Linked DNA regions of Caenorhabditis elegans. The protein of the gene in region 2 interacts with the protein of the main gene of each other region in a pairwise test. Each region holds a gene or a part of one and is shown on either strand. Other genes may lie near its edges. The genes, in order: vglu-3 and srh-87.

Evidence for each region.
Region 1: the proteins of srh-87 (region 2) and vglu-3 interact in a two-hybrid assay, tested with the Caenorhabditis elegans proteins (one large-scale study listed by BioGRID).

What each region holds. Positions count from the first base shown.
Region 1 is NC_003281.10:10,298,263-10,304,084, forward strand, and holds vglu-3 (putative vesicular glutamate transporter vglu-3), read left to right. Parts: upstream 1-2,115; 5' UTR 2,116-2,163; coding exon 2,164-2,277; intron 2,278-2,332; coding exon 2,333-2,479; intron 2,480-3,033; coding exon 3,034-3,588; intron 3,589-3,690; coding exon 3,691-3,840; intron 3,841-4,023; coding exon 4,024-4,389; intron 4,390-4,559; coding exon 4,560-4,655; intron 4,656-4,708; coding exon 4,709-4,766; intron 4,767-4,826; coding exon 4,827-4,890; intron 4,891-4,943; coding exon 4,944-5,028; 3' UTR 5,029-5,147; downstream 5,148-5,822. Other genes in the region: vglu-2 (Major facilitator superfamily (MFS) profile domain-containing protein), read left to right, coding at 1-85; T07A5.1 (uncharacterized protein), read right to left, coding at 5,148-5,279, 5,532-5,641, 5,807-5,822.
Region 2 is NC_003283.11:2,943,800-2,947,499, forward strand, and holds srh-87 (Serpentine Receptor, class H), read right to left. Parts: upstream 1,904-3,700; 5' UTR 1,884-1,903; coding exon 1,672-1,883; intron 1,622-1,671; coding exon 1,476-1,621; intron 1,327-1,475; coding exon 814-1,326; intron 765-813; coding exon 580-764; 3' UTR 578-579; downstream 1-577. Other genes in the region: srw-137 (G-protein coupled receptors family 1 profile domain-containing protein), read right to left, coding at 1-19, 72-160.

The DNA.
Region 1 (5,822 bases), on a different chromosome or scaffold from region 2:
GACGCAAGCCATCGGTGGAAGCCTCGAAGTTGTGCCTGAAGAGCCAGCAAATAAGAATTTGAGAACGGATAGGCCTGAAGTTTAAAAAATTCACACACATTTTTCATATTTATGCATATTGTCCAAATTCCCTATACTGATCTCAATGTCCTTTACCATTTCTCCCGACTGACGGCCATGTCGTCGTAGTTCCTTGACAAACATGCAATTCCGATCACTTTAAAGGCGCATAGGGAGGAATTTTGTGTCTAACCCGGCAGATGTCGGATGTTTATTTTCATCCTCTCCTGCTTGAACTTGAAACTTTTTCAAATGTCTGTAGTCATTTTAATGTGTTCTTTCTGTCTTTTTTCAAACTAGTCACGTTTTATGCTCTTACCAATCAATACGACTCACTCGATTTTTATAAATTTGTTTTGAATTTCGCCCGAATTTTCAGATTTCAAGCGCCCGTCAAGTGTCGGTCGTTTTAACAACATTTGTTCACATAATGGTTGGTTTTTTTTCAGTATTATAACTAACGTTCAGTATTATAACTGAAAATTCCCGGAACAGTACTAACATTTTAGAAATTAGGATCTTAGAAATCTAGGACCCCGGTGAGCTGGAAGCCCAAGCCTATGAATTTAGGAACTTTAGTTTTGGGGTAGTAGGAAAAAGGTTCGTTCTATCTAAAAAAATAACATTTATTCCTGTTGAAAAGTTTTTAAAAGTCCACAAATAGTCCCTAAAAGTTGTAATTTGCCGAAAAAAACAATGATGCACGGCTCTGCTCGGCACCAACGAGAAATTATTTTTGTGTGATGGAGCTTCGAATCGACATTGCCAAAACTAAAAAAAACGACATTGCCAGAAAAAAACCTTTATTCAATCAAGGAAGCACAATGCATAATTAGAATACCTATAGTTCACAAACATTGTCCAACAATCTTCCGAACGGCTCGTTGTAGCCAATCTTCACGCCTTGTGAACTTGGGAACTTGACAACCACATTGCTCGACTTTCCTGGCTCAAGCTGAATCGTGTAGTTGACAACTCTTTCCGGCGTGATGGTCGCACCGACCGTCGGCTGCACACTTGCCTCGTCGACTTCCATGGCCTCTGGGCAGTTGAGAATAACCTGGAAAATGGGATTTTTAAACAAAAAATTTTACAATTTTTTTAAACGAAATACAAAAAAGACAAAAAATGTTTTACCTTGATTCTCGAATCCGTTGATCTGGGCAGCTGCTCACGAATCGTCAGAAGCACCGAATTTGGACGAAGATTGGTGACGACAGTGGCCTTCTCGGTGACCAGAGAGGTGACCTTCTTGTTGTGCTCCTGGTAGTTTCTCTCAGGCTTGTACTGGATACAGATGTTCGGGTCTACACCCAGCGAAATCTCAAACTTCTGTGAAGCAACCACGTCTCCAAACTCCTTCTTGTTCAAAAATTCACCGTCGAGGAAGATCGATGCCTGACCGGCGACGAGATGATAAACCGAGGTGTTCACCGAGTTGGCAGCGAGAAACGCAGCGGCATCCAATGATGGGACGGCCACGTTGGAGAGCTTTGTGTCGACAGTGAATTCTCCGATGTTCACTTTATGAAGTATTGCCAACCATTTGATTAGAACAAAACAAAGAACTCATTGTCATAAAAATACTCGATAAAAGTCGGCGAGATTTCGTTGAAAATAAACGCATTTTTCACTGATTTTTGAACTTCCCGCAAAACTAAATCATGAACTCACCGAAATACTGAACTTCTTAGGTTTAATAATTCACAGATCTTTATGAAATAATATTTCCTATTGAGCACTTAGCTTGAGCACCTAGCTTCAGATTGTTTCTTCGGGGACTTGTTTCAAATTTTAAACTCTTTTTAATTATATAACGAATTTTTTTAAAGTTCTAGAAGCTTCCAGTTGAATCAAAAAACTGAATTTTGAGGCAAGTTTTCGTCTAACATTTTTCAATTTTTGTCTAACATTTTTCATTACGAAATTGCCAATATGTGTTATCAAAAAGGCAACAGCTTGTGTCCATTAATCATTGTAGCCTGCGCATCCTACACTCCTCCCCTATCGGCCCCCGAAAACTTGGCGTTTACCAATCTTCTATCAGAGAATATTTTCCATACGTCTTTACTAACTACCTTATTTTTTAACAAATTTAATTTCATGCCGAACGGATCCATTAGAAACTGCGCAAATGCGGTAGCAGATACCGTTCGCCAAACGTTCTCCAGAAAGACTTGGGAGCATAAGGAACAGCTTCAAACTATTACTGAACAGGTTAGTTCAAGAATTTGATTTTTTTTTAAATTTTAGTGAGAAATTTGGATTTCAGAAAAAATTCTTCCTGCGAAAAGTGCGATGGCAAATTGCTATTCTAGCTCATTTCGGATTCGCGATTTCATTTGGAATACGGTCGAATTTCGGTGTCGCCAAGAATCGGATGGTCAATAATTTTACAGATGCATATGGAGAAGTTCATGTGAGTTGAATATACACCCGTGAAGTGTCGGATGCTTCAGTTAACGCTAGCAGTCTTGTAAGCCCTGTTAGCGTGAAACGTCGACTGTTGTCATAAATAAAAAGATCTTTTATTGAACCGGTTTTTTAATTTTCAGGAATCGGGAATTTCGGCAATTGCTGGTTTTTTCTATTTTCAGTAAATCAGCACTTTCGTAAATCAGCAAACCCGCGAATTGTCGGACGCTGGCCGTTTAATTTCAAACAATTTTCAAGCTATAACAATCATTAGAACAGTATTACATTTCCAGTAGGATACAATAGAAAATGTTCCCCAAACTTGGTCAGAGAACTGGTTTTCCGGTAATAAAAACTGATATTTAATGTTTTCTTTCTTCTTCAAAAGTTAGATTCGGGGGGTTATTCGATGAAAGGTTATCTTATCTTCTTTTTTTTGAACAGAGGGATCTTTGGAATCAGAAACTAAAGGATGATTACCTGGGAAACGTCGGTCACTTTGTTGGCCAGCAAGCTCCCCGCGAAATGTCGGCTGCTGAATTTTTATATTGTTTCCAGGAACGTGAATTCTTGTGGACAGGAGCTGAAGTTGGAATGATGGAGAGTTCTTTTTTCTATGGCTACGCTGCCTCCCAAATTCCCGCCGGTGTCCTAGCCGCCAAATTTGCACCGAACAAAATCTTCATGCTAGGAATTCTCGTCGCATCTTTCATGAACATACTCTCCGCGATTTCCTTCAACTTTCATCCGTACACTGACATTTTTGTGATGGTTGTTCAAGCTGTCCAGGGATTAGCGTTAGGGGTACTGTACCCTGCGATGCACGGAGTTTGGAAATTCTGGGCTCCGCCACTGGAAAGGTCCAAGCTCGCAACCACTGCCTTCACAGGGTCCTCAGTTGGTGTAATGACTGGGTTACCTGCCTCGGCGTACCTGGTCTCTCATTTTAGTTGGAGCACACCTTTTTATGTGTTTGGAGTTGTGGGAATTATATGGTCTCTTATATGGATGTACGTGTCATCTCATAGTCCGGAGACTCATGGATACATCAGCGATGATGAGAAGAAGCAGGTTACCGAGAAAATTGGAGATGTTGCAGTGAAGAATATGTCGGTAAGTCCATAGCGGCAGACGTCTTACAGTCTTGTGACAGAGCCGTAGGGTGACGGCCGCTGTTTGTCCGGCCGAAACTCTCTTCTTACCTCGGTATTTCAGCTCACAACACTACCATGGCGTGACATGATGACCTCCTCAGCTGTTTGGGCAATCATTATCTGCACATTTTGCCGCTCCTGGGGATTCTTCTTGCTCCTCGGAAATCAGCTGACCTATATGAAAGACGTCTTGCATATTGATATTAAAAACGTGCGTTTTTTCCGAAGTGGAGTAGGGGTACTGTAGGAGTACTGTAGTAGTACAGTACGATTACTTTAGATTTGAAAAAATGAGGATTTTTGAAACTTCTAATTTCCTAATATGAAGCCCTGGCCAATTTTTCAAAAATTTAGAAATCCCATCAGGTGTCGGCTGCTAAATTTAAAGTTACAGAGCGGATTCATCTCAATCTTTCCTCAATTTGGAATGTGTATCGTCACATTAGCCACCGGTCAACTCTGTGATTACCTAAGATCTTCTGGAAAAATGAGCACAGAAGCCGTCAGAAAATCAGTGAACACTTTTGGATTCACAGTTGAAGCAATGATGCTAGGATGTCTGGCGTTTGTTCGGGATCCTGTGATTGCGGTGACGTGCCTGGTCATCGCGTGTACCGGATCTGGATCCGTACTTTCTGGATTCAACGTCAACCATTTCGATATTGCTCCAAGGTATGCTCCGATCCTTATGGGAATTGCTAACGGGCTCGGAGCAGTTGCAGGAGTTGGAGGAATGGTAACGAATACGGTTACCTATCAGGTAAGGCTTCTGCAGTATTAATGTAGTTCCGCGATACTGTAAGATTACTGTAGGTTACAGTAGGTTTAGAGTAAAGTTACTGTAGGGTTTCTTTAGGTTACTATGAGATAAGTGTAGGGTTACTGTAGAGTTATTGTAGGATTACTGTAATATAGATAACTTTGTTGCAGAACCCAGATGGCTGGAAATGGGTCTTTCTTTTGGCCATGGCGATTGATATTTTTGGAGTAATTTTCTTCCTCATTTTCGCGAAGGGTGATGTTTTGGTGAGTTTTTTTTTGTTTTGGAATTCACAGAAAATCTATAAGTTCTGTTTCAGCCGTGGGCCCGCGAGCCGGAAAAGGAGGAAACGTTCAACGAGTTTGTTCGCAGAATGTGTAAGATTTGATATATATTGTGGTTTTTTACGATGCATGTATCTATAGATCAAATTTCAGCGATCAAAGTGAGAAGTTTGTCTAGAAAAACAAGGAATCGGGAAGGCGACACGAGTTATGAAAAGTGAGTTGACTTCTGTGATGTCTGTCACTCTGAAACAAAAATTTTCATTTCAGAATGGAAGAAGACTCGGAGATGAAGCCTTGCTCCAAAAAAGTAGAAGCTCGAGCTCCCGCTGAAAAATCTGAAAGTTCTTCGTGACTTTGCACTTATTCAATTTTTTGTACATTTTTTGACTGGCGATCTCTGTCGTAACATTGGCTGGAGTTTAAAAATCTGAGGTCTGACGAAATTCATATAAGATCTATAAATGAATGAAATTAATATAATTTGGAAACATTTTTCAATTCCACATCACTCCACAGCCCGTTCGTTCTCACATTCTTTGCTGTGCTCCGCCAGTCGTATTGGCTACTTGGGTGGTCTTCGTACCATAGGTTACCGTACTCGAACTGAAACAATGTTAACACTAACAAGTTTTAGTAAGAGCAGCCGACATTTCGCGGGTCGTCACGAGCCCGCGATATGTCGGTTGTTGGCTCATTTTGGTGCCACTGTGAATGTAGCCTGCTACGTGTCGGCTGCTTCTATTTTTTACAAAGCGGCGCAGCCAACACTTCGCGGGCCTCCGAATTTCTTTTATCGTGTACACCACGTGAACAACTTTTCTCAGTTTTCCCCTAAACATTTCAAGTGCAACTCACCACGAGCATTTTCTGTGGGGAACAGGTCACCCAGAATAGGTGCCCGTGAAGATCTGCAGCACACCAGGGATCATATGCCGGGTAGGTGTACTTGTATTTTATGTCATTGCCTTGAAAGAAAGGGGTTTTTTGAGAAACTTTAAAACTTCTGAAATTTAAGTTTTCAACAATTTTGCTTACCTGCCTACCTGCCTAGTGGATCTACAAAACCTACTTTCTGTAAAATTTCATTAGGGATAACAAGTTTTTTTCTTAAAAATTTCAATAAAACCCACTTGCTCCGCCGACCCA
Region 2 (3,700 bases):
AACTTTCTCTGTGAAAACTCTGAAACTCTCTGATCTTGAAATACCTTTCTTTTGATTTATATGACACTTACGCCAGATATCTTTCGATTCGGTATAGCCGACGAGCAGTAGAATGCTCAAAGCCCGGAAAATCAATTTGAAGATATTTGTCACTAATCATTGTTGTAAAACTAAAAACTTTTTGATATCAAAAGGAATGGAAAAACAGAAAGCCTCCAGAAATTTAATTTTTTTTTTTGATTTATTGCGGAAGGAATTGAAGAACGAATATTTTACTCAAAAGCTGGAACTAAAAAAAGGGAATTGTCTCAGAAAAATATATTATTAAATCGAAGACGGAAGCTGCAGAAATGATAATTATCCCTTAATTTTCAGGCTACGTTCAGACATCACTTTGAAGCATGGCCGGGTGGCAATTGCTCCAGCAATGGCCAAAGTTGTCAAAAATTTCCGATTTCAGCACATCCCTGTTGTGATATTTGAGCATTCTACTGCTCTTCGGCTTTGTTGATTTGTAGGAAAAAAGGTAAGGTTTGTAAAAAAACATAGTTTATTAAAAAAACTCCTTTTATGAAAAAATTATTTGATAACAATTTGAGTAATTACCACAGAATCTATATCGATATTTTTCAAGGGTTGTTTTGGTTTAGATTTCCAGAAATATGACAAAACGAACTGCCGATAAGGATGATGTATAATGAGTACAGCGACTGTAGATATTAAGCCATGAATTGAAGCATGAAGAATTGACAAATTGGTTAATGCTGGAAAATTGGTTTTTTGTTTAAATTTACCCACAAATTTATTCCGAACCTTGATTATAATAATTAAAATCAACAGCAAACCAAATATAAAAAGCGGTCGGTAACATGAACAAAACAGGAATTGAAATTTGTAGAAGTATGCTTGCCAAAAATTTAATTTGCAACTTTCTCGTGGTCTTTGAAGTAAACGAACGAATCGAGAAAAACAAATAGTAGACACAACATGTCAAGTAAAACAAAATTTGAATCACTTCTACCACAACTCCTAATACTGTGAAGGCAATTAAAAAATGAATATGATAATCATCGATGCACAATACAAAAATATTGGAAGCCGTGAAAAAGTCTTGAGAAGGACATGGAAGCCGTCTGAGAACTTTAAAGAGTGCTTCTTCCTGGTTTGCTGGTATGAAAAATGTGAATGATGCTGCGTAAAATACTCCAATCAGTAGTTTTGTTAGATAGTAAATAGTTTTCGTACTTTTCCGAGTTATTTTGAACTTGTTGAATGGAATTGCGTTATTCCGATTTTCTACCAATATTGTTGTAGATAATAACATGACTGAAACAATTTTTTGATTTTGTGAAATTGATTGCGCGCTGTGTGGTCTGACGCGATCTCGCTCAATGTCGGCTGCGGATTTTTAAAATGTATCTGATGGGAACTGTTCCAGCTTCCAGATTGCTACACTTCCGGATACCTAAACTTACAATTCAGACTCTGAAATGCCAGCCAAGCCTGAATTTTCGGTGGGACACCCAAAAAGTTCAACAAGCCAACTGAAAATCCCGTGAGAGTTGGAAGAAATATATATGGTGTCCCGAGGCAATTCAAAAACACATCCGCCAGACACGTCCTGAATATTTCTACATGTGCACAGTCAATGTTTGTGATGTGTATACTTACCAAACATGGAAATTGAAAAGCGGAATTCGATAGGTTGACATTTCCTTTGGGCTTTTGTATAGGATACAGTAACCTCCAAAAAGATAAACTGGAAGTGAAAATGCAGTCAAAAAATGGGAAGTGTAAGAAAAGTCTTGCCAAGAGCACAAAAACGTATCGCATCTTGGACATGTTGTATAGTTTGTTAAGTAATACTCACGGAGACTAGACATGCTCACACGATTTTCACAAAAAAAAACTGTGAAGTGAATAAACCCAGTTTTTTGGTCGATATGACAGTTGTTTTCTATAAACAAAAAATGACAAAAGTTTTCTGAGAACAGGATGACTCAGTTGGTTATCTCAACAAAAATAAAGACAACTAAGAACCTAGTGGAGTAAATGAGGAAGCACGGTCATTGTGAAACATCAAATACCCTCTGTTTCCAACCTACAAAAGCAATATACTCATATTTTCATAATTACTTCAATTTATTTTCATAATTACTCCAAAAACGAGGAAAAGGAAAAATGTTTTACAAGCTGTAAGTTTTGAAGTGAAATTGCCGAATACGTAATACTTCAGAATACGTTCGCCAAATTCGATAGAAACACAAATCCAGAATCAATAACATAACAGTTATACAAAAAAAATCTACCGCGTGTTAATCGTAAAAAAAAACGGTAGGGATTCCATGGGAGGCAGGCGCGGTAGGGCCTCAAGCCTGCTGCCGACCTGCCCGCAGGCCTCTCGCCTCATTTCTGTACCACATAGTGTGTAAGGTGGTTTTATCTCCGCGGCCGACACTTTTCAGGTTCCGCGCCGCACTACATGCAGGCGGCGCGAGGCAGGCGGAGGTAGCCGCAAGGCGGGCGCGGCTGGCATTTTGGCTCGGTTCGTGTCCAGTGGTGCAAATAGCCGACCCGATGTTTTCAAAAGTTGAATTTAATATATCGCGTTGGAACAGTATACATATATTAAAATTGACAATTTTTTTTCAATTTTTATACTTGATTTTTTTTTAAATTTTGGTTATGTATTCAATAATTTTTTAGAAATTCAATAGGTATTCAATTGGCTCCAAATATCCAATAATTTTTCAAGTAGCACTTCTTGATTTCTAATTATTTCCGTAGCACATTACTACTACTGCATCCTGTGAAAATTACCTGAACGCCTCATTTGTTGGGTTTTGTTTTTGAGTCAGTGTTTTTGAGCCCAGAGAAATTAAATTTTTGTTAAACTTAATTTTGTAAATCTGATCTAGTCTATCTCTGATTTTTACCGCGCTAGATTAATTCAATAAAATTGCAATACTCACATTTCCTGTATCTCGACGGAAGGTGGAATTTAGTTCTAGGCGTGTTCTGGTTGCTTGATCACCTCTCACTGTCAGTAAAATATACAAAATCGTCAGCGCTTTTTTGGTGCAACTTTTTATTTAATTTGGAGTATGTGTTCAAAATTACAAATATACCTTTTGAAAATATAGTTTTAAAAGTGACCAAATTTTACCAAATCTGGTAATCATCAACCTTAAATGTACCTAAATCGATTAAAAAACGCAAGATAATTAATTTGAACGCCCTTAATTAGAGTTTCCAACCGCTGCGACATTGGCAAGTCGGTCAAAATTCAAATTCTGACTAATGTTATGTCATTTTTGAGCCGCCATAATTTTTTTGAGAAGATTTCAAGAAGTTTCATCATGAAATTCGGCGTTTACCAACAATTTTGAGTCTAATAAAGCGATACAACAATTTCGACTGCACCACCTTTTCACGTTTAGCCATATTTCAAATAATTTCAGAGAATTCGTTCCGATCATAATGCACCAAGAGTATACAATATCATTTGCTAGTTTAGTGATTAATACCTTCCATATCATAATTCTCACCAGTGCTGCTATGCGGAACTCTTCCATAAATCTCATTATGGCTGCGGTTGCAATTTTTGACATATTCACATTGTTTCCAACTTTCGAGCGTTTCATTTCGGAATTTATCAGCTCGTTTCATCGCTGCTCACAACCACCTTCATACTCTGAAG